Linked DNA regions of Oryza sativa Japonica Group. The protein of the gene in region 6 interacts with the protein of the main gene of each other region in a pairwise test. Links are inferred from orthologs where the notes say so. Each region holds a gene or a part of one and is shown on either strand. Other genes may lie near its edges. The genes, in order: sm-like protein LSM2; B3 domain-containing protein Os03g0120900; alpha-glucan water dikinase, chloroplastic; cBL-interacting protein kinase 9; uncharacterized protein At1g76070; putative protein Brevis radix-like 3; probable protein phosphatase 2C 37.

Region 1 (3,941 bases), on a different chromosome or scaffold from region 6:
GTAACAACTAACAAGCAATCTTTAGTAACCTATGCAGTACAAAAGTACACCCTTCATACAATATCATTGGATGGAACTGAAGGCCAAATAAATATCTAGGTACGGATACTGGTTGTCCCTGTCAAGTAATGTGCTTGCCTGGTTACAACAGTATTTGCACTGGAATTACCAGTGCATCTTAAGCTCCTAATTCTGCACCAGTAAGGCATGTCACGAACTAGGTATACCACTATATGATCTACTCCCCATTAATTCCTAAATTCATGTCAATGTAGCCCAAAGTTTGTTCTACAAACATTTAGACATACCGCCTTTTATCATTAGCTGGTGACTACTTCAGGACATTTACTACAGAACCATTGATTGGAGTCAACACACCACTGTGTTATGGATTGGCTAAGGTAAGGGTCTGAAGACCAGGGGATAGGGCACTCGCCCTCTAATAGCAGCGGCAGGACTTCTCCCTGCTGAGCTGAAAGACTCATTGATTAGAACTCTAAGGCTTAGCGCTAACTTCAGATATTAATTGATTATAGGGTATATGGGGTCCCTTTATATATAGGAGGATAGACTTGACATCCAAGGAACTAATCTCTAGTACTACAGAAACCAATCCAATATCTATCTATAACTTTCTAATAAACATCATCTCTTTCCTAACTAGATACTCTCCTATCTTTATTTGACTATTCCTAAATTATCATGCCTAAACTGCTGCATGGGCCTGGCCCATGCCCAAAACAACAGAGAGTAACAAGTGATCTAATGAAGAGTAATATCTACTATGGTTTATAAAGATGGTTATTATTATCTTCCTTATGCATACTCTTGGTTGTGGGATACTGGGATCCTATAACTGACATTTTGGGCCTCACTGTATGCCCAAAGAAGAATCAGCTGCTGCCATAATTTGAATTTTAGAACTTTTTTTTTGGAGTTGATTTTAGGGTATTTTCAACTTAGTTTCTTTTTCAACATTGGCTTTTAAGTTGCTAAGAAGACATATAAAAGTTTACCCACAAATCAATTTTTGGATATAGTCAGCTCTTGGCCAACTGACGGAGCTCCTAGTTACTAACGGAGAGTGTTACCTGATCCATATCCATATCGTACTTCTTTTACTTATGCAACTACATGTCAGACGTGCAACCATTCTGAATTGTGATACAGCATTCAGCACTAACTAAACATGTAAGGATCATGCTAAAGGTACTCCTTTAACAGATTAATAAATCAACAGATGACAAGTACATGCTATGCAAACAGAAGAGAAGAAATCTGAAATCATGTAGAATGAGGTGATTTTGAATGTATCCATTAATCTGACACAGACCAATCACAAGAAGCATCATGATCTGCAACACTGAATGGCATGGAAGATGTAGCACAGGCATTGGGGCTCCTTCAGAGGATAGTATTCTGACAAGCCCGGGGTTAGCACCGTGCATGAACCAATATCTATGTATAAATCCTTTTGAAAGAAGGCAGTGCGACCCCACCTCCATGAACTACATTTTAATGAATAGCCCCTTGAAGTTCTTCAATACTACTAAGTCAAAATATAGCTACTTTTGGTTATGACTCTGGACAAGTACTTGTCCACATTCACAGCCAAAAGTAGTTACATTTCAAGACGGAGGTAGTACATAATAGTAATTACAAAAAATGTTATAGTCCTATTTGACCATTTTGACCTTATCAAATTGACTGAGTTGCCACATGTACATGTGTGTTGTTCAAGCTAATTTGGAATAGAAAAATGTGTAAACACGGTAAAAAGAAGTGAATAATTAATCAACTGAAAAACCATAGCAAATGCACAAACGCACATGCATATTGAAGTACAAAACCATGAAAACTTCCTAAATCTATCTTGAACAGAGAACAAAGCATACAGAGTCAATATATCTACAGAAGACCACCGTAAAGAACCAAGAAACACTGTGTTTGCTGCAGAGTCAATATATCTACAGAAGTACCCATGCAAACAAGCGGCTAATTGCTATCCATATTTCACCAGGACAGAGACAGACAGATAGATAGATAACCAGAGCAGCATCGCATCGCATCGCATACCATGTGCGGGTACTTGTCCTGGTCGACAACCCGAGTGTTCTCGAGCTTGATGTTGAGGTATTGGTCGACGGAGTGGAGCGTGCCGCGGATGGCCAGGTCGTTCTTGAGCTCCACCGTCACCTCCTTCCCCACGAGCTCCTTGAAGTAGGAGAAGAACAGCTGCACAGCAACCAAATCAACAGAACAAAAAATAAAAATCAACACAAACTAACAGAACAAAAAAAATGAAGTGGGAAGAGAAGAAATCAACGAGCAGTTGAACAAAAAAAACTAAAAAAAATATTCTACCATACTGGCCGCAGAACCCTCCCCGCCTTAGCTCCGAAGAATCTGCAGACGCAAGAGGCAGGATTAGCACCCAGTGGACGGGATCCCCAAACATTTTTGAGGGGCAAATAAAAACAAAACTTCTAGTCCTATTATTAAGGTTTAAGGCTATCAAATTAAGAGAAAATCAGCTTCTCCCAGATCTAGAAGAGAAGATACAGTTAACGCAGGCAAGCAAATTGGACACAAAAGCGGGTGGGTTGGAGAGAGAGAGGGAGATGAATGAGAAAAGAGGATGCGGATGCTCACCAAGAAGCAGCAGGACGACGGCGGCGAGCGCCTCTCCCCCTCCCCTGGTAGCGAGATGGAGATCGGCGCAGGCGCAAGGAGCGGAGAGGATAGACCGGACCGCCGGAGATGGAAGCGCGGCAGCCGGATCGGGAGGAGGCAAAACCCTAGAAGAGCGCGAGAAGGCGGAGGAGGAGGAGTTGGGTTGGGTTGGGTTGGGTGTTGGGTATGAGATAGGACCAAACCATATTATTATGGGCCGGGTTAGGGTGAAAGGCCCATATAGCTTTATTTATTAGGAAAAAAGTATACTCTGACTCCCTCAACTATCACCCGAGTATGATTCATGTCCTCCAACTTCCAACTATTAAAACCGGTGCAAACAAATAAACAATATCCCTCGGTGGTTTTGGAAGTGGTTTTGGCTGACGTGGCGGTCTTGACCGAGTCTTTATCCAACATGGCGCTTACGTGGCATTAGAACAAAAACAAAATTAAAAAATGTGGCGCTTACGTGGCATTAGAATAAAAACAAAAAAAATATGTGGGACCCATATGTCATTCACACAAAAAAGTGGGACTCACTGACATGAGAGACCACATGTCATCCTCCCTCTCCTTCCCTTCTTCCTCCTATCTCTCTCTCTCGGGACTCAGGAGCGGCGGTGGTGGCAGTGGCCGATGGGGACGAGGCGGAGGGGAGCGTTGGTGGCGGTGGTGGCAGGCAGCGCCAGCGATGACGGTGAGGACGAGGTGGTGGGGAGCGGCGACGGTGGCGGTGGAGAACGCGGCTATGGCCCGCGGCCACTAGGAGGGAGGAAGGGGTATGAGAGGGGAGCCGCCCCCGTGGGGGGTCGGAGTCAGCGTCACCGGCGGCTGGCTAGCGCGGCGGCAGCGGCACGAGCTCCTCCCTGAAGCACGAAGCACGCCCTCCTCCTCCTCCTCATCCTCCTCCTCTGCTCTCCTCCGCCACAATCGTCCCCGTAAACCACCTCTTCCGCCTTCTCCTCCTCCTCCCGACCGCTACCGTCGCCGCTCCCCTCCGCCTCGTCCCCACCGCCACCGCCGTCGCTCCCCACCGCCGTCACCGCCGCCACCGCTCCCCTCCGCCTCGTCCCCATTGGCCACTGCCACCATGAGAGAGAGATAAGGGAGGGAGAGAGGAGAGAGAGGGGGGGAGGATGACATGTGGGTCCCACATGTCAGTGGGTCTCACTTTTTGTGTGAATGGCATATGGGTCCCACATGTTTTTTTTGTTTTTATTCTAATGCCACGTAAGCGCCACGTTGGACAAAGACTCGTTCAAGAC
Region 2 (4,122 bases), on a different chromosome or scaffold from region 6:
ATCTGGATGTATACATATTGATATTTTAATTAGTTTGGCAACAATATCTGCAATTTTAGGTAGGTACGTTTTAGTAGTACGTACTACCCTGCAATCATGTACAGCTAGGAGTAGGAGATGCTGCAGATTTGCAGTACAATCACCTTGAATTTATATATGGAGAAATGGAAGAACGACGACGTGCAGTTTTCAGAGTCAGAAATGTGTGCAGATTGCAACAAATTAAGGTAGAGTGGTTCAGACTGAGCATGAGTGATAAGAACCAGGCAACTAAGATTTAACATAATAATATAAGCAGCCCATACAGTTGCCAGAATGGGACCTTTTAATTTGTTCTATCGGAATTCCACTAAAACTAAACAAGAAGTATATGCATTAATTAATTTATTCTTAACCTGAAAATGCACGTGGTGACATTTAAAACGAAAAAAAAAAACTTGCTAACTGAATTAAAGTGTATGGTCGGCATAACTCTGAAAAGAACACATGCATAACATAACTTCCAAGTTCCTATACTGCTTAAGTGCTTATGTCATATGTACATACTACTATCAAAAGTAATCTAACCTAGAATGAACAATCCAAACTCTAGAAGAGCAATATTGCAAAAGTTTTAGTTGACATATAAAGATTTTTAATATATACTTCCAACTGAACCTGTAGATTGGAATGTTAGAGTATCAGCCCCATTGTATCTGCAAACAAATAATAATTTTTGAATAAAACTTTTATATATGTGTTCTTAAGGATCTAAAACCAAAGGCTGAAAAATAAACTTCGATGAAAAAACCCCAAAATCAACTCTAAATTTAAGGTTGAAAATTCAAATTTTGGCTGATAAGCATAAGCATAAGCGAAAAGATGAGGCCATATATATGGAAGTTGGAGATATATTACGATATGATTGATTTGCGTGGACTCATTCCTTATACCTTACTGTGTAACTCCTATATATATACCGCCACCGGCCATCTTAGACTCAATACAACGTGTGTATCTCTCTCCCTCTACTATTCAACATGGAATACACAAGTAAACCGACGGCACAAATACTTGGTACATTCGCACACATATAATATCTGCATAAAATACAGTTATAAGTTACCTACCAATAAGAAGAGATGTGCATGTTGAAAATTTGCAGCCTACAACTGGCATTTTGGGGGGTTCATCACCTGCCTAACTCACATAAAGGCTCCCTATAGCATGAGAAGGACAAGCTCACATGAGCTCAACCAGATAATTCGTGGGCCCCACACTCCTCTCACAATCCCTACCATCTCTTTCCCTCTCCTCCCCCACTCCTCCTATCCCTCTCTCTCATCTCTTCACCCTTTAAAAAGCAAGCTAGTGTATTGTGCCCACCCTTGCCCTCCTAGGCTACACCTCACCCTCCCTCTCTGATACACATGCATACATACACAAAGATACATAAATACATATATACATATACATGTGTACTATACCTACAACAACACACATCTGCTCCACACTAGTATATAGCTACTAGGTAAGTAGCTAGGCCAATTACCTTTGGTTGCAAGCCAAAAGTAAGTATCCATCCTCATCCTTTTCCTCCTCCCACCAAGAACCTTCATAGTACCACCACCACCACCACTCATCACATCTCACACTCATTGCCTCTTTCTTCTTCCTCCCCATCTAGCTCTAGCCCCTCTCTTGTTCAAACACCTTCATCTGAATCTCTTGAGCCTGAATTTTCCCAACACAAGCAAGCACTACAATTGAGCTAAGCTATAGCACACACACACACACACAAACCCTGAATTCCCACTTCCTAAGTTCCTATAGCTAAGCATATAGTAGCCACAAGGAGCTAGCTAATTCTTATTAGCTATAGCTCCAGATCCCTCACAATTCTAAATTTCCAATCCCAAAAGACCCAATTAAACAAGAGATAGTTGCCTCCTAATCCATATAATAAGCCCTCAAATTAACTAGTAGCCATATACTATCAATAGTAACAAGGCAGCACAAGCAGCATACCATAAGCATACATCGGGTCAAAGCCGAGGTCAAGTCCACCGGCAGGAGGACAAGCCGGCGGCCGGAGCCCAGAGGAGGAGCTGAGGCATCATCGATCGATCGATCGGCATAGTGCACGTACATGGAGTTCATCACGCCAATCGTGAGGCCGGCATCGGCGGCGGCGGGCGGCGGCGAGGTGCAGGAGAGTGGTGGGAGGAGCTTGGCGGCGGTGGAGAAGGAGCACATGTTCGACAAGGTGGTGACGCCGAGCGACGTGGGGAAGCTGAACCGGCTGGTGATCCCGAAGCAGCACGCGGAGAAGTACTTCCCGCTGGACGCGGCGTCCAACGAGAAGGGGCTCCTGCTCAGCTTCGAGGACCGCACGGGGAAGCCATGGCGGTTCCGCTACTCCTACTGGAACAGCAGCCAGAGCTACGTGATGACCAAGGGGTGGAGCCGCTTCGTCAAGGAGAAGCGACTCGACGCCGGGGACACCGTCTCCTTCGGCCGCGGCGTCGGCGAGGCCGCGCGCGGGAGGCTCTTCATCGACTGGCGCCGCCGCCCCGACGTCGTCGCCGCGCTCCAGCCGCCCACGCACCGCTTCGCCCACCACCTCCCTTCCTCCATCCCCTTCGCTCCCTGGGCGCACCACCACGGACACGGAGCCGCCGCCGCCGCCGCCGCCGCCGCCGGCGCCAGGTTTCTCCTGCCTCCCTCCTCGACTCCCATCTACGACCACCACCGCCGACACGCCCACGCCGTCGGGTACGACGCGTACGCCGCGGCCACCAGCAGGCAGGTGCTGTTCTACCGGCCGTTGCCGCCGCAGCAGCAGCATCATCCCGCGGTGGTGCTGGAGTCGGTGCCGGTGCGCATGACGGCGGGGCACGCGGAGCCGCCGTCGGCTCCGTCGAAGCGAGTTCGGCTGTTCGGGGTGAACCTCGACTGCGCGAATTCCGAACAAGACCACGCCGGCGTGGTCGGGAAGACGGCGCCGCCGCCGCTGCCATCGCCGCCGTCATCATCGTCATCTTCCTCCGGGAAAGCGAGGTGCTCCTTGAACCTTGACTTGTGAAGAGGGTACGGCCGTACACGTACACGATCTCTGCTACTTTATGCTTCAATTCTGCTACTACGTACTGACACAAATGGAAATCGTCGACGAAGAGTGTGACCGGAGAAGTAAACAAAGGCGGCGATGGCGGCGCGCAGCGGCGGCGGTGGCGGCGGAGGTGGAGGCGCTTGGAGCATCTAGCGCCTTCGTATTTCGTATATAGCTCATCATCTCTCTTAAATTAGTCAGTGCAGTGTGAGGGGGAACAGTTTAAGAAAAAAGAACGAAGCAGCAACGTACCCAAAAAAAATATTCTTTCTAGGTTGATGGTTTTTTCTTGCTTCGATTTGCTTTGCCTTTTTCTCTTGTGCTTAATTATAATTAAGTTTTCTTAGCTGCTCGATCTCTTCTTTGTGTCTGGGAGAAAATATATACTACTGGTACTAGTGATTAGGGGAAGAAGAAGGAGAAGAAAATATAATTGTTTCCAAGAACTCCAGCCCAATTGTATATATCATGACTGAGCCTATGGAAACACCGGTGTGTGATCCTCACATATGATAACAATCAATTTGCACTGATGGTACGAGTTTATATATGTACACTTGTTATATATACATACTGGTGATGAGCTAGCTATAGCTAATGGAGATTGTTACATTGGAGAGCCCGTACTCTACGCATCATGTATACTGGGCACATGGATTGTTCTTGGTGCTGCCGTTGTTTGTGCAGGTCAATTGGGCTCTCCTTCCAAGGCATCAGCAACAGCAGCTATAGCTAGCTAAGCTGTGATGAAGAGAAGAGAAGAGAAGAGAAGAGAGGAGAAGAGAGGAGAAGAGGCCTTTAAAATGTGGGGAGCGAGCCAGCCTGCAGGCCAGCTATCAAGCTAGGACAGGCAGTTATTGGAGGGCTGCAGGTCAGATCCTAAATCCTTCTCCTACACATGCATATTACAGTCTCTCACTCCTCTCTCACTCCATATGTATATATGCATCCCTAGCTATACATCTTTCTCTCTCCCTCTGCACATCACTGCTCCGTTCTTGATTTGGTTTGCGCATTTGTCTCTTGTGCTA
Region 3 (3,500 bases), on a different chromosome or scaffold from region 6:
ATACATAAATAGTTATGTTGTGCTCTGCCACTATTCGTATCTTTTATTAGGAAAATGGAACAACTAAGGTAAATTTCTCTAAACAATTGTGTACATAACATGGAAAAAAACAGAACAGTTGTACCTTTAAGCAATATAGGATATCTTCATTGTCGTCGGTGGATAAAGCAAGATTTTCAAGGACAAGACTGATGAAGTACATAATTTTCTGGATTAGATAAAACAGGAACATGACTTAATACATTTGAATCGTCAAAAAGACAAGATACAATGTGAGACAAACACATGCCATAATGTAACCTATAGCAACATCCTGTGTTAACCAACCTCTGGTTCTACATTATTGAGCTCCTCATATGATCTTTCAACTGCTGTCCTGAAAGTAGAATCAAGAGCAATGTCTAAAAAGATAAGATCCTTCATGCGTTCAGGAGAGCCAAGGAGCAAAGGGTGTAGTTCAGCTCGAGCCTCCAATAACCCCTGCAAGGTAGCATTTCAACATTGGCAACAAAGGATGCATATGGAAGTTGCAAAGACCAGATGGATTAGGCAGGTCAGCTATCAGTCATTTATAAGAAATCTAAGTATTGTCTTGTAATTTTGTTTTTCTTTATTTTTTTAGATAATGGAACGGAGGTAAACCCGTGGACATGGCACCAAATATTGCAAACATGCCTGGGTTTAGTATTGCTCACCTCAAGAAGTGGTTCTGCTGATTTATCCTCAACATGGTCAAGTACAAATTCAAGCAATTTCTGTTGAAGTAATGAATATTATGAGCTTTTAATTATGATAAATGTGTTTTTTTTAAAAAAAAGAAGGCAAGGATGTTTTACAGGAAATCCAGATGGCAAACCCTTCACTGGATTAATCTGAACACCAACCATGAAACCTTCACCCTGTATCCCAAAGAAACAATTACATCATATATAACCAAATGAAACTTTCACAGTATAACAGACATGAGAATGGTACCTCTGATTTGTATCCCATGCAAGTTGCTATAGCAGATTCAAGATCAGCACCAGAATGCACTGCCTAAGAAAACAGAAGTAGAAATGTACAATACTATTGAATCAAAGTATAATTATGAAAATGACAAATTTTCTAATTAGAAGACCAAGACAATATACTTGCAATACAGATCTAGCGGCACCATTTAATTGTTGGTCAAAACATACAAATGAATCTTGCAATCTTAGAATGAAATACAAATCTAGTGGTACCTTTTTATATCACTAAATGTATATATAATTAGCCTAATTATTGGTCAAACTTACAAAGTTTGAATCTTGGAATGTGTACGCCTGGTAAATTTGGTTGGATGGAGTAGTTTGATGTTAACACTTGCCTTTTATTAACAATGCTAGTAATAGGGGTGCTGGATAATGGAGACGATTCAAGAGAATGATTGGTAAACTATATGAAACGTAGAAACTATAGTGTGATATTTTTGTTTCATTTCCTTAAGATTCCCATACATGAAGGCAAAGAGATAAATTTCTATTCCTGCCGCAATTCCCTAAAATAATAATAGAAATGGGATTTCACTGGAGATGTCAATTATGCAGATTTTACTCTTAAGGAGCATGTTACCATTCGCAGTGATTGTATCAGGGTACCCTCCATCTAAAACGGACCAAAGCGAAACATTATCAATTAAGCAAAAAAGAAACATAAAGTTAGGTTTAGCTTGACCAGAGTCTCTTAATATCAGGACAAGCTCAGTACCAACGAGAGCAATCTAGCCTTTATCCTAATCTTTCGACCCTTATTCAGCACATATGGGACATAATAACATGTACTGTTACCAGAGAATGCCACCTTTCAGCATATGTGATTAGCAGTATATTGTTTAGGGTAGATCTTGTAATATTTCTTAACTACAAAGCAAAATAAGGCCTTTGCAAAAGCAAAAATTTACGTAAAATCGTAAAGATACTGCATAGATATCTCAATTATCTACGCCAGATGTTTGACATACCTTGAGGCTTCTCATATAATTGCCCAAGTCACGGAGTAAGCCATCTTTCTGTTCACTCCTGAAATTTGGCTCTGAATGAATCGGTCGATCATAGCTCAATAGACGCTCTTTTGTTATACCATCTTTTTTCAAGGTGTCCCAGTAAACACCAATATCAAAATCACTCTTGATATAATCAAGTAGGGCCTACCCATGAAGAGACACAAGTCCATAAATATCAAAACCCCAATGCTGAAATCTGTATGGCATTAAATATCTGCATGTCAATTACCTGGCAGATCACTACATCATCTGGGCTTGTATTGTTGTGCAGTTTCTGGTGCCACTCCTCCATCATTCCACCTTTGCAGTCATTATTTCTCTACAATACCAACCAACTAGTATTTATTGTTGTATAGTTCAAGTTGATCAACAAACAAGTTGATATTCACCTAGGAACATTAATTTACCTGGATTACTAATATCTCATCACGAATGCGTTGACCAACATCACCTTCACCTCCCCGACCAACAGCAGACATTATCATTCTTAAGATCTCCTGATATTGTGGGTAAGTTCTGTACATATTCTCAAGATCATCTGTAAACCTATCTTGTGCTTTGCTTATCTCACTGCATAGTTGTAGATCATTATGGATGTTAAAGAAGATGCAACAAAGTCATGTTTGTGTGATATGCAAATAGAATAGGTTCAGTCTGCTAAACAGCATTCTATTTTTTTTCCTGTTATGCTTTATTAGGACTAGAAGGTTTTTATTCCCATCACAAGAAAAAAGTACTTATGTAGTTAATTTGATTTCTTTTTGCACAGAGAGAAAATTCACTGAAGAATATGAAACAAGTATCTACCGTGGCTTCACATTGTAGTTCTTGTTCCATATTAGTTGCCTTGTAGCCATGAACCTAATCCAAACAAAAATTCCAATAATACCCAATAATCCATTATCTCTTGCTTGGTCAACTAGATCTGCTGCAATATTGAATCTGTAGAGGAATAAAGGTAGTTCAGGGATTTTTTTAACACACAGAACAAGTCATACAAGTAATAGATATTGTGTCACCTGACCTGTGCATAAGAGATCGTTGGGCATCTTCCTCTAGATCTGCTATTCTTTCAAGCAAGGCCTTAGCAGTGCCTTTACCAGCATCACCAGTATCCTTTAATTACGAATATATTCAACAGTTTATTAGTAAGTGATTTTTACCACAATTATTTAGATATTCTTATTTGACATTGAAAATTTTTAAGGCCTTGTTTGGTTACATCTGGATTCAATCCGGGCCGGGAATGAGAAGTATAGTAACAAATTTATGATAGATGTAATAAGAGACCGGGATTTATTCCAGATCGGGAACCAATTTACTCATGATAGGGACAACAAAACATTCAGATTAGTTCTACACCTCTTGACTAGTGGATTGATTCCCGGTCTCTTATTGTCCATATCATGAGTAAATTAGTTCCCAGCCTGGAATAAATCCCGGTCTCTCATTGTATCTATATAAATTTCTTATT
Region 4 (4,276 bases), on a different chromosome or scaffold from region 6:
GACTTCTCTCAAATTGCCATCATAAAAGGCTTCAAAGAGGATATACAATGAAACTCATTGGACTAGCAGCAGTCAGCTGGTCAAACTGGTTAGCTGAAGATATATGTCCTTAATTGTCACTTACTGTGCAGGGATTAGGATCAAGTATGCGCTTAATGAACTTCTTCGCACCTGAAGAAAACCAATGTGGACAAGAAACTTTTGCCTTGCAGATCTGTGAAGAGAACATCAAAAGTCTATCAAGTTTACCAATGAAATTCACAAGAAACATTAGAATGCGTGCATGTTACACATACTTACCAGTTTGTAAAGGGTCATTAGGTTGGGGTCATCGAAAGGTAAATATCCAGCCATGAGGACAAATAAGATTATGCCGCAGGACCATACATCAGCAGCCATACCATCATAACCTTTATCAGCAAGCACCTGAGGGAACAGTATGAATATATGATTCTTACATCTTTTTGGAGAAAATACACGAGTTTAATCAAAGGCAACATGAATCACCTCAGGTGCAACATAATTTGGTGTTCCGCAAGCAGTATGCAGAAGTCCATCCTCCTAAATAAAACAATCAAAATAGTTTACCAAAGTTACTTCTTTCAACTTTCTTGTCACCAAAACAAATAATTATGCGTCCGAAGTTCATTTGAGGTAATAGTGCAAGTTAAGGAACAAGTCAATTAAACCAGAAAAATGCTAGAAAACCCAAACACATCACATTAGGATAAAGAAACTGGTTAATTTTTTAACAACTACAAAAACATACTTCTGGGTACTAGCTAGATATCATACTTTTGTTTGTGGAGCAAACGCACTAAGGCCAAAATCTGAAACTTTAAGAGCTCCATGTGAATCAAGAAGCAGATTCTCTGGCTGCAAATGGCACATAAAAAATATGAATGAGAATACATCCATCCCAGTGGAGATTACCCAGAAAGGAGGTAAGCAGGATAATTCAACAAACCTTCAGATCTCTATGGTACACTCCTCTGCTGTGGCAATAATCTACTGCATTTATAAGTTGATGGAAGTATCTTCTTGCTTCATCTTCTCCTAGTCTCCCAGAATTGACCTAGTTGATAATAACATGATGATAAATGGGTCAACTTGTATGGTCCAAGAACTGCGGATTAGTCAGTCAGTATCAAAACAGTCAAATGTGCCGGTTCAACAAGCTACTCTTACAGCATGTAAAAGCAATTTGTACATAAACAAAAATAAGAATCGTGATATCTGGCACAGAAAGTTCATGGGCCTTACAATCTTATCAAAAAGCTCGCCTCCATCAACATATTCAAGAACCATGTATATCTTTGATTTGCTAGCCATGACCTGTCAAACACACATTGAATGTAAAATTCTCATTGAATGAGATGAGATAAAAAAAAAAAGAAGGGTATGAGTGGTAATGACGCTATTGTTCCTGCAAAGATAGCAAAGTACCTCATGCAACTGGACCACATTTGGATGTTTTATTAGCTTCATTGTGGAAATCTCCCGTTTGATCTGATAGAAGTGGAATATGAGGTTATCATTCACAATCGAAAGCTCAAGCTGGAAAACAGAACAGCTCGAGCAGGGACATTTAATTGTGCCAACACATCATATGGAAAATCACATATTTAACCAAAAAAAATACTAGTTTTTCCACCAAACAATGCATCAACCAATGAGTGATCTAGCACGGAATGTACAATACCCGAGTTTCCCCCCAGTCAGACTGAATTTATAACTCCCCGAGAAAAAAAAATGAATCTAGAACAACTCTTGCCACTCCTACGAACACCAAAGCTAGCACAGCTTTTTGCTAGGCAGAAAGCATTTGATTAAGACAGGGTTGGCATCACCGCATCGGAGATATTGTTATAGTTACATGGCCCAGCTTGATAATCTGTTGTTACATTTCCGATTCAAACTTGATACAATTCCATCTAATTTCCTTTAGATCAGAGCAGATTTAGCCCGCTGGACAGGCGGACACATGACCTTTCTTCAATCACAAACAATCCAAACAGACAGAATCTTGACAATGGTAGAGACGTAGTAAGCGCATATTCTCGTTTAATGTTTATTAATCCCCATGAAAATCCATCTTTTATAATAATCTAGCATCTATCTAGAATAATTTAGGATTCTTAATTCGATCCCCTCCGAGAAAAGATCCAACTTGTTATTACCTGATGTCTAAAAAAAGAGATAAATATTCAATTTTGAGGATGATTAAGGCGGCGGACCTGCTCGACCATCTTGTGGCGAAGCACATGGTTGCGGTCGAGCACCTTGATGGCGAGGGTGTCGCCGGTGCGCGTGTCGCGGGCGACCTTGACCTTGGCGAAGCTCCCCTCCCCGATCGTCTTGCCGAGCTCGTAGCGCCCCACCCTCGTCGTCCTCCTCGCCGGCCCCGCCCCCGCCCCCGCCCCCGCCGCCTCCGCCTCCGCCTCCGCCATCAATCCCTCCCGCAGATCAATCCTCCACCGCGCGCCTCGCCGCCTTCCGATGATGGGATCGAGGAGTGCGCGCGTTGGTAGGTCGCACGCAGGCTGGATGGCTTGGGCGCCCCGTGCGCGCGCCTCAAATAAGGCGGAGATGCGTTGGTGGCAGGTGTGGTGTGGGGTCCGGTCGGGAACCGCGTGGGACGAGACGTAGGCGGCGCGCGGCGTGCGGCACGGATGCGTGCGTGCGTGCGCGCGCTATCGTTTTGGCCGTGTGCAACGCGACGCGATTCACAGTTTTCACAGGCAGTGGCCCGAACTCTATCCCAATCCCACCACCACCCCGGCAAAAAAAACGATTAATCAAACTCGAAAGCAACACGCGTACGTAACGAGCACGCGCGAACGCGGCATTTAACCGTGGCTCCTCCTCGGATGGATAAATCCAAATGTGGGGCGAGATTTTACGTGTTGCCACTTGGAGATCGCTCCTTTCGGTTTTCTTTACGCTGGAGTAGGGAAAATCTCGCCGTCGTCCACCACCGTGGCCACAGCGACAGGCAACGAGCTAGTAGTAACCCTGAACATGCGTGCTTTGCACCTTCCTCGAAGGAGCACCCGTACGGTGCCGTACTCTCAATCATTCCTCCGTTGAAAACGACGCGCTGATCCATCCGTGCTCCACACGTCCTCCCCTGAACAAACTCTGGCTCTCCTCTGAACAATTCACCGCGACCGCGACGACGACAAAAACGAACGTGTGTGATCTTGCTACTGTATGCCGTTTGCTGTGTTGTTTTTCCAGCAATCATGCACGCAATTAACCTTGCCTGATGTGGTCGCGGTCGGAAGCGGTGCGCCACGAATCAGCAAGCGGCTAGCAATAGCAATAGCAATAGCAGTAGGCCAGTAGCAGCGTGAATGCATGATTGATGCCGCGATGGGGCCGAGAGCCTTATCCTGCGGCGTCACGCGGGGGCACCACACCACCACTAGCGCCTCGTGCCATGTCCCGTTCGTCGTCGCTGCCTGCACTGCACACCACATTCTCTCAAATCTTTTTCCTCGCCGCCATCAAGGCATTACCACGACAGGGGGCGTGACCGATCGACCTGTGTGTGATTGCTGATTTGAAATCGTAACCGTCACATTACATTTGGAGAGAATTGTGATTGCAACTCTTGTGTTAGTGGTTGATACTGCAGCAGCTTTCGTGACTTTGGAAGTAGACGGCGAGATTATTGTGACGGGGACAGCACTGTTGTTCTGGAGTGAGAGTTCCACGTGCGACTTTGTTTGCGTTGTCAGCTTGTGGGATTTCGATTCCAGGAGGATACGTACTTCGATGAGCTCCATGGCCGGTGATTTTTGTCGAGTTATACTTGATGGTTGTCGCAGAAACACTCCTAACCGCGAGTTAGAAGAAAGTAGAATCGTGCTAGATAGAAAATGCTTAGTTTTCTATTTTAAGAAGGCTATGCTAAGAGATTTCTGAAAAGAAAAATTAAAACCGCGATTTTATACATTTTGACGTAGTTCGTAGATATTCAGCTCCCAACGTGGCAGGTTAGCAGCAGAAGAAATGTCATAAACCCAAAACCCTCTGTTTGGGAGCCCATAATCTGGCGAGAAACCTGGCCCAATTCTTTCAGGCCCAGTTGACAAACAGGCCCTGAAACCGGACTCTCTCTCTCTCTCTCTCTCTCTCTCTCTCTCTCTCGCTCTCGCCTTACAAAAACAACGGTGGGCTGGCCCATGATGCTCTCTGTCGACGAGTGAAAGAAGCCCAGCCCATGAGAAGAAAAGGATCGTCGTCTCCAGACCATACGATACATGCGCGC
Region 5 (2,875 bases), on a different chromosome or scaffold from region 6:
AATTCGATCCGAATTTTTTCAGACCACTTGATGAGCAATTCACTCTTGTACGGAGCTTTTTAAAATTAAGTCCTGCACCACTTAATTAACCATTGAAAAATCATCATTCGGACATTTATTAATGGTTGGCTTGGCTCTTGTCAGCACTGGCTGGCTTGTGCTGACCGAACTTATTTTTCACAAGTCGTAACTGCACGCTCGATGGAGGCCGGATTTTCAGAGAAAATGTGCGGAGAAATTAAGCAGAACATTAATTAGAAAAGTTGAACTCGTGACAATTCCAGGCACTAATAAGTCAAAATCCTGTAGCTTCCGTTTTCGGACTCAATCCAACAATTATGAATTCTGAGTTGTCAAGCATATTCCAAGACTCATCTTACACGAAATCCATTCATATACTTATCAAAACAACAAGTTGTTTTCATCTAACAACCTTTTTTTAATTATTTTGTTCTCTTTCGTTGTATCTTCTTTTCTAAACAAAAGCATCACATCTAAAATTTAAGGAGAAGAAAAAACAACTATCGATGTACTTTTGATCAGTTTCGTGTGAAGTATATGACTGTACAAATTACTCCAAGAACAAAAAAAAATCAAAAAATTACATTGGAATGGGAATACGCTCGCATTTGGGCCTAGAAATGGACGAACAGATCGATGAACACGCATGCAAAAGCTCATGCACGCTGACGTCATCTATGGAAGTCGAAGCGGAGTGGGAGGAGCCATGGGTCGCCGGCTCCAGAGGTTCACCTCCTTCCTCGGCTCCGACGCCACCAGGCCGCCGCCGAGCACGAGCGGCGCCGAGTGCGCGACGAGCACGTCGTCGTCGTCGTCACTCGCCATCCTCTCCGCCTCCCTCCAGTCGAAGTCCTCGAACGCCGCGCGGCCGCTGGTGAACCGCTTCATCTGCCCGAGCCCCGCCGGTGCCGGCGCCGCAGCCACGGCGGCGCCGGCGCGCCCGGCCGTCCTCCCCTTGAAGAAGCCGCCGTCCCTCGACGACGACGATGACGCCTTCCGCGACCTGCTGCGGCGGAAGAGCATCCTCCTGACGAGCGAGCTCTTCTGCCTACGCGCGGCGGCGGCGTCGGCCGGCGGCCGGGGCGGGAGCGGGCACGCGCCGTTCTTGCAGCTCGCCTTGACCTTCTTGGCGTTGGCCTTCTTGATCTGGCCGATGCAGGAGACCTTGGGCGACGACGGCTCGGGCGTCCGGTACCCGGAGCGGTGCTCCCGGCGGCTGCCGCCGCCGCCGCCGCGCGCCTCCGGCGGGACGATGGAGACGATGGGCCCCGAGAAGGCGTTGCGGTGGTTGAACGACGACCTGCCGTGCGGCGGCGGCGGCGCGGAGGCCGTGGTGGTGGTCGCCGTGAAGGATGCCGCCGTGCTCTTGAGGAAGGAGACGATGGCGCCGCCGCTGAAGCTCCTGGACCTCGCGTGCCTGTGCTTCTTCTCCATTGGCATGATGTGTGCGTGCGTACGGATTGTGTCTTTGGTTCTCTTGTCGTGTGCAGATCGATGTAGCTTTAGGCGGCTTTAGTTTGGGTTATATACCACAGGCAGAGGGGCATGAGATGATTATGTTTAGGGTTGGTGAATGAATGCGATTATACGAGTAGATTGTGATGGGATGGCTAGCTGCCGCGACTAATAATAACAACTCGCGTGCGTTGTCGTGTGTTCGCGTGTGCGTGCGTGGTCAAAGCGAGGAGCGGGTATTGAATTCACGGCGAAACACAGCTATCAATCAACCAACCAGCGCGCGCGCGGGCGCGAGGCAGGCGGTGACAGCGAGCAGTGGTGTGGTGGGGGGTTGGGCGTGCGTTGGGTTTTTCCTGGGCGGGACGCGGTCTCTGCACCGGTCGATCCGACGCGGCGTACGTTCGGTTGAACGGGCCGTTTGCTTGCGTTTGGAAATGAAACGCGAGACCTGGTTGCTGCATGCGCGACGAGACTTTGGACTGGTTAGCCGCAGCGGCCGCGCACCGCGGCTGTGGATTGGATGCGACCTGCGGCCACGGTTGGTGCGCGCGCAAGAGAGTTTCCTCGTCGCGTCAAACGTACGCGCGGGCGCAGGTGCGGGTGCAGGGCCGCGGAGTTTCCGGCGGTGGCCGTGACCACGGCCGATCGACGACTTGGTTGGCGTACGTGCTGCAATGCAAGTGATCCGTATGCGACGGCCTGACGGACGGTGTCGGTGGCGTCGTCGACGCGTGGGGATCGATTGTGTTCTCTCGTTTGCGGAGGGCAATACGATTTTTTAATTCACCGGGAAAACGATGAAAACGTTTTTCATTTTTCTTGGGTTTGACTGACTGAGACACAGTCACACGTATTAAAATACCCCGCGGGCCCCATTGTGCTGGATTAGTCCAGCGAACATATATATGTTTCGTATAAAAAAGAACCAGTGGTCGTTCTATGTAAATCCTATAGTACACCCGTCCAGTTTGAATACTACTCGCTAGCGTACGTCCACCCACAAGTATATGTATGGAACTCTGAATTTTCTGTATGGCATACGTAATAAAAATTGACTCTACCTGTTGAAAAAATGCAATGTGTGATTTGACTTCATGATTCATCAATCCTAGAATTAGTAAACTTTACCAGTTCCTTCTTTTTAAAAGAAAAAAAATCAATATGATTAGTAGTAACTGAGAGAATCAGCTTGAAAGTAATGCTGCGTATGAATGTTCGCTGGGTTGTTTTCTCCTGCAGAACGACATCTTAGTTACTACGTACTTCCTCTATCTTAAAAAAAGACAACATACGTACTCTCTTCTAAGTTGTCTTTTTTTTTTGGAACGAAGAGAGTATTTCAATAGGCAATAAAGCAAGTATTTTTTTTAAAAAAAAAACTTTACCGATGAGAGCA
Region 6 (4,207 bases):
GAGCTAGTAGCATGTAGTAGTACACTCTATATACTGCAGTACTGATGGCAAAGTAGCAGGTGTAAATTCGATCCAGGAGTAGCATGTACGAGAAGAAGTTTAGATCAAGACGAAGAAGAAGAAGGGACAGACGGGTACCTGTGAGGTGAGGGACTTGACGGCATCTCTGCCGTGAGGCGTGGCCGCGCCACGGGACCCGTCCTCCCCGCCTTCCTTGGAGGAGCACGCGATGCATGCCAGCATCTTCTCTGACCCCCTCTCCCTATCTGCCTCCCTCTCCTCGATCGACGACGACGAGACGGATCAATCAGTAGTCAATCGCTCCCCCCACAATCTCACCTTGTGTATCGAACTGCAAAAGTGTGTGCATTAGCGTTACATATATAGTACTACCACAGTACGGCTATCTATCAGAATTGAAGCCGCTGTAACGAAAGATCAAGTTTGATCAGACATGCCGTCATGTAGACACTACAGCCCACGGCTACAGTTGCATGCATGCATGTGATAGAATGTCTATCCATGAGATGGTCAAACTTTGTCGTTGTTCGCATGGCAATAGTACACTTAGTACATGTATAGTACACATTTCCATGATAATTAAACGAGTGCGAGATTTCGTGTATCCACGCACACGTATGTACGACCAAAATAAATACACGCCGAAAGTACGTACTCCTATCAAGTATCAACAGTGACACTATCAGTCTAGTATCCTCTAGCCATAGCCACAATCTACAATGTACTGTAATAACGTAAAGCGGTTTCCAAGCCGGTGTGTGACGCCATTCTAGTACCACACACCATTTGGACCAGACGTGCCATGCCATCCTTGCATCTCACATGTAAGCACGCGAACACGACATCCGGTACACTATGCGAGCACAGAGCTATCCGGCCGGTCCGTGACCACGCACACGTGCGCATGCGTGTGCGTCGGAGGAGCTGTCCTTCCGGCTCGTTGAGCAACAGAGAGCAATGCAAGCATGCGTATGTACGAGAGATAGCTATAGCTAGGGACTCTGGTCTCTGGAGCTTCAATTCGCCACCGGCGTCAAAACGGGGCAAGCTGGCTGGCTAGCTGGTGCAGTGGAGCACTGGAGCCTGCAGCGACAAAAAAGTATAGCACCAGCATAACAAAGCAAGCAAGACCCATGCCAATGGCAGCATCACAGTCGTTCACAGCTACTCCTGCATGCATGGCATGCATTCGCAGGCTGCTCTAACACAGTGGAAGAAACGCTACGCGGGGCAAAGCAGATCGATCGACGGGCACAGGCACAGAGATTCTTTAATCGCCATGCCACATGACACACACACATATACTACTAGTAAATCAAAACTGAAAAGCAGGTTGTAGTAGTAAAATACGGTCAGCTACATTGCGGCAGGGAAGCTTCTGATGTTTACGCGCACATGGAAATTTATTAACCACCAGTGTGCTATGGCTAGCTAGCTCCGCCCGTTTGTGTATGTGTTGTGCACAGTGTTCATGCAGATGAGGCGCAGCTACCCACGCGAGGTAGGCAGGGGCGTATGGGGAAGACTCCAAACGACACCAACAGCAGTAGCTCGGTGGACGAGGCAGGGAGCCGCTCAGATGTGTATCAGCTACAGTCACTGCAGCTGGGGCCCCACGCCCTCCCCCAGATCAACGTACTGCCTGGACTTTATTTTTTTTTTCCTCCTGCTCCATCCCTACCGAGAAAAATATGGGCCCCGGCTAAAGCGACCGGCTATCGAGTGACTGCATTGTGGAGCCCGGTAGGGTTTTTGCTGATTATCTTTTGCGCTTTTTTAATAGAAACACGACGTGATAACCTTAAACACGGTATTGTGTGTGTTTTCTTTTGGCCGGTGGTAGTAATTTCTTTTGTACAGTAGTAGTATCAGCTAGTAATTAATTAATGTTGCTGTAGAGGGAGAGAGAAATGAGAGGCACAGTGAGAGTGATGAGATGATGCTTACAGGTAACTGACGGCCCCCAGATAGCTACGTTAGCCACAGCTCTCTCTCTCCTCCGAGTTTGCTCGCCGTGTAAACAGTGTGCGTACCCAAACCACCTACGCGCGCGCTGACCGGGTTGCTCCGCCTCCTCTTCCTCTCTCTCCGGCGCCTGAAATGATGCAGACAAAAATGTGCCAAAATAAATATGTATACGCCTAGAAGCGAGAGCGGGATGCAAGGAGAAACGGCCTTTTATTTTTGACACCAAGATAAACGGACTTTGACTTTCTGGTGAACAGAACAGGGTAAGAAACGGCATGCAAGACGAGAAAACAAAACATAGAAAAAGTGTAACTCAACACACACACACACAAAAAAAAAGCAAAGCAAAGATAAGACGAAGCATCAAGCAAGCTGGTTGCGTGCGTCGCCGTCACCACCATTACCTTCTCCTCCACGTCGCCGGTGAGCGAACGAGCGCAATTTGCAGCCCGCCGGTCGGCTTCACCTTCGCCGCCCTTTCGGTTTCGAGCTCTGCCTCTGAATCGACTCAGAAGCCTTTGGAGATAGCACAGAGAGAAAGGCCTCCCTTGTCTGGTCGAGGAGTGGATGCGGCTGCGTCAATGGCGCCAAACACAGCGGCGGCAAAGATATCAGAAGCTACGCAGCGACGCTGTCGCCGCACAGAAACAATCTGGGACTGAGTGGGAGATTCCTCTCGCAGTCGCAGGAGAGAAGAGCCACGAAGCGAGAGAGAGAGATCGAGGTGGGGAGGGAGAGAACACTGCGGGCGTCGCGCTGGGCCGTCGGATCCTTCCCCCATATACGACGAGAGGGCGCCGAGTGCACAGGCAGTGCAAGCCGTCTCGTTTCCGGCCCATATATAGTCCCTCCCCCACGGGACACGCGGCGGTCCCCGCGAGATCGCGGCCGTCCGATCCTGCGCGGCGTGTGGTCATCTCCCTGGTCCTGGGCTGGGCCCCACCTACGGTGATTCGCTGCGGGGCCCGCGAAGGCCCGGGCCCCGGCACGGACCGTGGCGATGACGAACGTGCTGCCGTGGCGCGATCAGGACCGTGCGATGTGATGCATATGCTGACGGGGCTTTGTCATGATCGAGGACCGTCCGATCTTGATGGCGCAAAGTACGTCAGCGTGTGCTTGCAAGCCCAATAGGCGAGTAGCCCATAGCGACTGACGGAGCGTGGGGCTCCTCACCGGGAGACCGCGCTGGTCCCCTTTTGCCGGTTCGGCCGGGGACCCTGGGTGAGACTCTAAGCTCCCAATTTGTGGAAGGTTCGCGAGACAGGAAACACACAAGACGCCGGCGATGTATACAGGTTCGGGCCGCTGAGAAGCGTAATACCCTACTCCTGTGTTTTGGAGGATCTGTGTATGAAGGAGCTACAAAGTATGAGCCAGCCTCTCTCTTGTTCTGGGTTCCCAATCTGGAAAAGTCCAATCATCCCCCCTCTAAGTGGGCAAGGTCCTCCTTTTATATCTTAAGGGGATACCACATGCACCATCTCCCCCTCTCTTTCTTCCAATTTGACTTCTCTTCATTAACAGACGGAGATTTGCATCGCCGCCGTCCGAATGACCTTCTGATGGGACGGCCCATACCTACCTCCACTTCCGCCGGAGGCAGGCGCGACGTGGGAAGATGGCTGTCTGCTGATGACTTGACCATTGTCAGACCGGTCACAAATCGGTCATTCTTGTCCACCACGTGTCAGTTTAACAATCTGCATGTTCGCCCTTCTTCATACAATATCTTGCCTGTAATGGTTAGGATGAAGCCTGGCATATATCTGACCGGAACCAACGTGCCATCTCCAGGAGCTAACACGCCGGCTCCAGCTAGGGACGAGTGCTTGGAGGCTCTCGTCCTGACGGGATGGGGCGAGGCGTGCGTCAGACCGCCTGTCGCCACCTAACCCATGATCTGACCGGTCTGTGACTGGTCACAGACCGGATAAACGAGCGTGCTGTACTGCGATACAGGCGGCGTGACGCGCTCGTCAAAACTGCAATAAATGTGGTTAGGTGAGCCCCGCCATGCTCACCTACCCCATATACGTGGCGCAAAACCCACAAGGGGTCGGGGCGCTTCGGCCCTCGGGGCCGAGACGGGAGCGGCCCGACCCCTTGGGGAGACAAAGAGAAGGGCAGCCGTATCACCCTCGGGCCCGCCCCCCCCCCCCCCCCGAGGGAGTTAGGCCACGTGGGTGATCGTGTCTGCCTCAAGTCTCTAAGTCAT
Region 7 (4,118 bases), about 26 Mb from region 6:
GTTCTTCTACAGCAGAGTAGCAAACACAACACACAAAGATAGTGCCTGCAGACAGAATTTAGATCAATGATGATGACGATGACATTACCTAATGCTCGCGACATGGCGAGGATGCCACGCACCCTCGGCCCGTTGAGGTACACCACCCGGCCACCCACCGCCTCGATCCGCGCCTTCTCGTCCGGCCGGTCCGGCTGCATAATTCACCGTCAATTATAGTACCATGTAATCTAGGTTCGTCAGCAGCAAGATCACACTTATGATTAGCAAGATACAAGAGCAAGATTAGGTTAATCACACTACCACATCCAGCACGAATATTGTCGCACCAACCACTGCCCCCATCTCCTACCCCCCTCATGGACCTACCACAGCCAACCACACCCAGCCAATTTTCCCCTTCTTTTTTCCCCCTTTCCACAGAAAAGGAAGCTCTGACCAGTGTGGGTCCACAATCCATCTCAGGAAGAGCAAAAATAAAAAAGAAAAAAAGAAAAAAAAAGAGGCAAAGGGACAGCAACTTCACAGTACACAGGAGCAGGGACAGGTGGCAGAGGTGGCGGCCAACCCCCTCTCACTGCTCACGTGGGCCCCACCAGACAGCAGCAAAGCAGCTGGCCCCACACTCTGACCAGTCTTATCCCCCCACGTGCCCCGCGCGAGAGCAACACGTGTCCCCCTCCAGGAAAGCGATGGATTAAGGCCCTGTATAGATGGGACTAAAACTTTCAAGTCCCTATCACATCGGATGTTTGAAAATTAATTATAAATATTAAACGTAGACTATTAATAAAACTCATCCATAATCTTGGACTAATTTGCGAGACGAATCTAATGAGCCTAATTAATCCATGATTAGCCTATGTGATGCTACAGTAAACATTCTCTAATTATAGATTAATTAGTCTTAAAAAATTTGTCTCGTGAATTAGCTTTTATTTATGTAATTAGTTTTGTAAGTAGTCTATATTTAATACTCTAAATTAGTGTCTAAAGACAGGAACTAAAGTTAAGTCCCTGGATCTAAACACCACCTAAAACACTTCGGAATCCCCCCCCCCTCCCCCGCCCAACACCACGTGGGCCGCGCCCCTCCGCAGCCACCCCCGAGGTTCCCACAAATTCTCCAAATTGCCACTGCCCTTTCTACTCGCATTAATGAGAGGGCCAAAACAAAAACAGACCATAATAAGAGAAGAAAAAAAGATACTAGTAATTATTTTTTTTATTATTATTTTTTAATACGAGGTGATAATCTTTTTTGTGATGACGCTAGCGGGGTCCACGTCGGCGAGCACGGCAAGGCGAGGCGATCCATGTCTCTCCGACAAGCGAGAGCGACCTCTCTCTTTTTCTCCGGTCGCCGGCGGCCAACCACGCGTCGCCGGCGAGGCAGCCGCGGCCGCGAAGGTTCCGGAGAGGCGACACCTCGGCTGGGGCCCACCCCCCGCAGGAGTCAACGGTAAACGGCAGCGCGAGACTTGGAATATTTTGGCAGGTACGGTCAAAGCCGTGGTGTGAGGGACACGTGTGCGTGTGAGGAGGGTGCCACGTAGGAATGGAAGGGCTGATTACCTTGTGGTCGGAGGAGAGGGGGAGGGGGTCGCCGGCGCGGCAGAGGACGGCGCGGGAGTCGCCGCAGTTGGAGACGACGAGGCGGTCGCGGACGAGGAGGGCGACGACGGCGGTGGAGCCGATGATGGCGCCCGTCTGCCCCGACAGCGGGCACCGGCACGCCGGCACGGTGGCGCGCCCGCACGCGCACGCCACCGCCGCCAGCGCGTCCACCCGGCCGAAGCTCCGCGACAGCGCCGCCCGCCACGCCCTCTCCTCCTCCTCCTCCTCCATCGCCGCCGGTTGCCGCTGCCGCAGCGCCGCCGCCTCCGCCACCATCTCCTCCGCCACGATCACGTGCATTTGCTCCCGGCACAGCGCGGACACCTGCTTTTTTTTTTTTGTCCATCGATCACACCAAAAAAAAGAGAAAACCAAACAAACACACGTCACTGATCGAGCAGTGGTAGTAAAAACCAAAAACGAAAATTAAACGACAAATTTTATAAAAAAAAAACGTGTCGACCTCGGTTTCGATGGTGCTAGAACATTGCCAGGTGGATCAAACAGTGCAATGCGGTACAACACAACAGCAGCATTTTCGCAATCAATCAATCCAATCTCTATCTCTTTTTCTCTCTCTCTCTCTCTGTTTTTTTTTTCTTTCTAACCCAAGATTATGATGAGTAGGATTAGCATGAAATAATGATGGGATTAAGCAAAGGATTAGCGGGGGGGCGACGTACATGGGGGCCGCCATGGCCGTCGAAGACGGCGAAGAAGTGCATCGGCGAGCCGTCGAGCCAGGTGCAGAAGGAGGGCCGGAGCGAGACGGCGTCCTCCATGTCGCGCATCCGCCCCGCGAGCGAGACGGACCCGAACGCGACGGGCCACACCGCGGCCGCCGTCGACGCCCCGGACGGGAGCGGGAGCCGCCGCGCCGCGGCGCCGGCGGTGGAGGAGCACCCGTCGTCGTCGCGGTCGGACGAGCAGTCGGAGGAAGCCGCCGACGAGGTCGGGGACGGGGACGGCGACGCGGAGGAGGCCGGGAGGCTCCTCTTCTCGCCCCCACCGTTGCTGCTGTTGTCCCCGTCCTCGGACGCGGCGGCGGCGGCGGGGACGTAGCGGCGCCTGCGCAGGCGGTGGCATTCCTGGGCGGCCGCGGGGGGGTGGTCCCCATCGCCACCCGGCATGTTGACGCCGGCGCTAGCCATCACCATCACCGATCATGGGAAGGGAGGAGGAGGAGAGGGAAGAGGAGGAGGGAGGTAGAAGAAGAGGGGTTGGGGTTGGGGGGAGGTGGTTTCCGTGGGGGGTGGGGGGTGGGGCCCGCATGGACGCGACGTGGCGAGGGGGTGACACGTGTCCGGGGACTGCGGGGGGCGCGTGGTGCGCGCGCCGTCGGGCGGTTTGGCTGCGCGCCTCTCTTCCCTGGTTTTCGCCCTCCCCGAGCCCGGTTTGGCCGGCCCCTGCTGCTGCTACATCACCACCCAACTACCAAACAAACCAAAAGAGCCCCATCCTTTGACATATTAGAGAAAAGACGAAATGATATATTTACAAATATAAAATAATTTGTAAATTAAAATTTTATATATGTATTTTTAATGTTCTAAATAAAGATTGGAAAATAAACTATGATAAAAGGTCCTAAAATCAACTTCAAATCTAAAGCTAAAAATTTAAATCCTGACTGATAAACATAACCGAGAAGGTGAGGCTGAAAGCTTTTGACTCTGGCTGGGATTAGAACTTGCATCATTTGTATTGAATAATGGGAAACAAAGGTCGGTGATACCACCAAAACAAAATGACGGGAGAAAGAAAAAAAATCTTTTTTTTTGCCCCTAATTAGCTTCTAGAATCCTTCTATATGTGGGAGCACGTGATAAATTTGGATGGTGGCCAGGCTATATTTCTTAGTGTAACTCATTTTTCAGGTGCATTTGTAGGATTTCATCTCTTACCTATACTAAAGGTGTTATCCATCTCCAGCACGGTGGTTCCTGAAGGATGGAGGAGGAAGGGGCAGCTACCGGCGAGGAGATCAACCAAAAGAGGGATCAAAACTATTTTAAACACATCTACTAAAGAGTAAAAAAAATCAAAGTAATTTTACCTCTATAACATGGTAGGACGGGTGAGCAATAATCTTCCCTTCTTTCCTCTCTTCTCATTGATAACGAGATCACCGGAGGTGTTGATAGTGAGATAGGCATTACAAGTGCGATGCCAAACAATGAAGAGGAAGGAACCATTCACAAGTTTGTGGAGTATAGTATACGAAGGAGGTGGAAGAAGAGATCACCTTATAAACTTGCCTCTATCATTATGTCGCCTCATCTCACACGTCTTTGCATCGCATATTAATGAGAAGATATGGTTAAATGTTTTTAAACTACCACATGTTATGCATGCACCTAGACGTTGTTCCCAACCTCCACAACGCTGGATCCACCATCCCCGACCTCCTCGGCGATGGATCTACCCCTCCCAAGGGCGCCGCCGGTGGATCCGCTCCTCCCATGGCCTCTAGCCGTAGATCCGGCATCACCGTCCCCAAC

Evidence for each region.
Region 1: the proteins of putative protein Brevis radix-like 3 (region 6) and sm-like protein LSM2 interact in binary tests that used the Arabidopsis thaliana proteins (3 or more experiments, as listed by UniProt). The link is inferred for Oryza sativa Japonica Group from reciprocal best matches to the Arabidopsis thaliana genes BRX and LSM2.
Region 2: the proteins of putative protein Brevis radix-like 3 (region 6) and B3 domain-containing protein Os03g0120900 interact in binary tests that used the Arabidopsis thaliana proteins (3 or more experiments, as listed by UniProt). The link is inferred for Oryza sativa Japonica Group from reciprocal best matches to the Arabidopsis thaliana genes BRX and NGA1.
Region 3: the proteins of putative protein Brevis radix-like 3 (region 6) and alpha-glucan water dikinase, chloroplastic interact in binary tests that used the Arabidopsis thaliana proteins (3 or more experiments, as listed by UniProt). The link is inferred for Oryza sativa Japonica Group from reciprocal best matches to the Arabidopsis thaliana genes BRX and SEX1.
Region 4: the proteins of putative protein Brevis radix-like 3 (region 6) and cBL-interacting protein kinase 9 interact in binary tests that used the Arabidopsis thaliana proteins (3 or more experiments, as listed by UniProt). The link is inferred for Oryza sativa Japonica Group from reciprocal best matches to the Arabidopsis thaliana genes BRX and CIPK9.
Region 5: the proteins of putative protein Brevis radix-like 3 (region 6) and uncharacterized protein At1g76070 interact in binary tests that used the Arabidopsis thaliana proteins (3 or more experiments, as listed by UniProt). The link is inferred for Oryza sativa Japonica Group from reciprocal best matches to the Arabidopsis thaliana genes BRX and AT1G76070.
Region 7: the proteins of putative protein Brevis radix-like 3 (region 6) and probable protein phosphatase 2C 37 interact in binary tests that used the Arabidopsis thaliana proteins (3 or more experiments, as listed by UniProt). The link is inferred for Oryza sativa Japonica Group from reciprocal best matches to the Arabidopsis thaliana genes BRX and AHG1.

What each region holds. Positions count from the first base shown.
Region 1 is NC_089042.1:3,159,069-3,163,009, reverse strand, and holds the start of sm-like protein LSM2, read right to left. Parts: upstream 2,801-3,941; 5' UTR 2,653-2,800; intron 2,407-2,652; 5' UTR 2,368-2,406; coding exon 2,365-2,367; intron 2,236-2,364; coding exon 2,077-2,235; intron 1,449-2,076; exon of another isoform or gene 1,307-1,448; intron 1-1,306. UniProt on the Arabidopsis thaliana protein: Component of LSM protein complexes, which are involved in RNA processing. Component of the cytoplasmic LSM1-LSM7 complex which is involved in mRNA degradation by promoting decapping and leading to accurate 5'-3' mRNA decay.
Region 2 is NC_089037.1:1,158,955-1,163,076, forward strand, and holds B3 domain-containing protein Os03g0120900, read left to right. Parts: upstream 1-1,358; 5' UTR 1,359-2,128; coding exon 2,129-3,064; 3' UTR 3,065-3,069; exon of another isoform or gene 3,070-3,156; 3' UTR 3,157-3,622; downstream 3,623-4,122. UniProt on the Arabidopsis thaliana protein: Regulates lateral organ growth. Functionally redundant with NGA2, NGA3 and NGA4.
Region 3 is NC_089040.1:18,341,712-18,345,211, reverse strand, and holds part of alpha-glucan water dikinase, chloroplastic, read right to left. Parts: intron 3,143-3,500; coding exon 3,051-3,142; intron 2,969-3,050; coding exon 2,834-2,968; intron 2,597-2,833; coding exon 2,434-2,596; intron 2,346-2,433; coding exon 2,256-2,345; intron 2,171-2,255; coding exon 1,985-2,170; intron 1,039-1,984; coding exon 976-1,038; intron 900-975; coding exon 837-899; intron 756-836; coding exon 696-755; intron 481-695; coding exon 328-480; intron 209-327; coding exon 125-208; intron 1-124. UniProt on the Arabidopsis thaliana protein: Mediates the incorporation of phosphate into starch-like alpha-glucan, mostly at the C-6 position of glucose units. Acts as an overall regulator of starch mobilization.
Region 4 is NC_089037.1:1,524,333-1,528,608, forward strand, and holds the start of cBL-interacting protein kinase 9, read right to left. Parts: upstream 2,801-4,276; 5' UTR 2,451-2,800; coding exon 2,238-2,450; intron 1,510-2,237; coding exon 1,447-1,509; intron 1,336-1,446; coding exon 1,264-1,335; intron 1,076-1,263; coding exon 968-1,075; intron 877-967; coding exon 796-876; intron 562-795; coding exon 508-561; intron 427-507; coding exon 301-426; intron 215-300; coding exon 125-214; intron 1-124. UniProt on the Arabidopsis thaliana protein: CIPK serine-threonine protein kinases interact with CBL proteins. Binding of a CBL protein to the regulatory NAF domain of CIPK protein lead to the activation of the kinase in a calcium-dependent manner. Involved in K(+) homeostasis under low-K(+) stress.
Region 5 is NC_089043.1:25,826,729-25,829,603, reverse strand, and holds uncharacterized protein At1g76070, read right to left. Parts: upstream 1,518-2,875; 5' UTR 1,462-1,517; coding exon 697-1,461; 3' UTR 501-696; downstream 1-500.
Region 6 is NC_089038.1:30,809,023-30,813,229, forward strand, and holds the start of putative protein Brevis radix-like 3, read right to left. Parts: upstream 2,801-4,207; 5' UTR 2,394-2,800; intron 2,117-2,393; 5' UTR 1,969-2,116; intron 353-1,968; 5' UTR 244-352; coding exon 139-243; intron 1-138. UniProt on the Arabidopsis thaliana protein: Acts as a regulator of cell proliferation and elongation in the root and shoot. Regulates roots architecture and primary root protophloem differentiation.
Region 7 is NC_089038.1:4,739,910-4,744,027, forward strand, and holds the start of probable protein phosphatase 2C 37, read right to left. Parts: upstream 2,801-4,118; 5' UTR 2,775-2,800; coding exon 2,301-2,774; intron 1,942-2,300; coding exon 1,576-1,941; intron 195-1,575; coding exon 89-194; intron 1-88. UniProt on the Arabidopsis thaliana protein: Negative regulator of abscisic acid (ABA) responses during seed germination.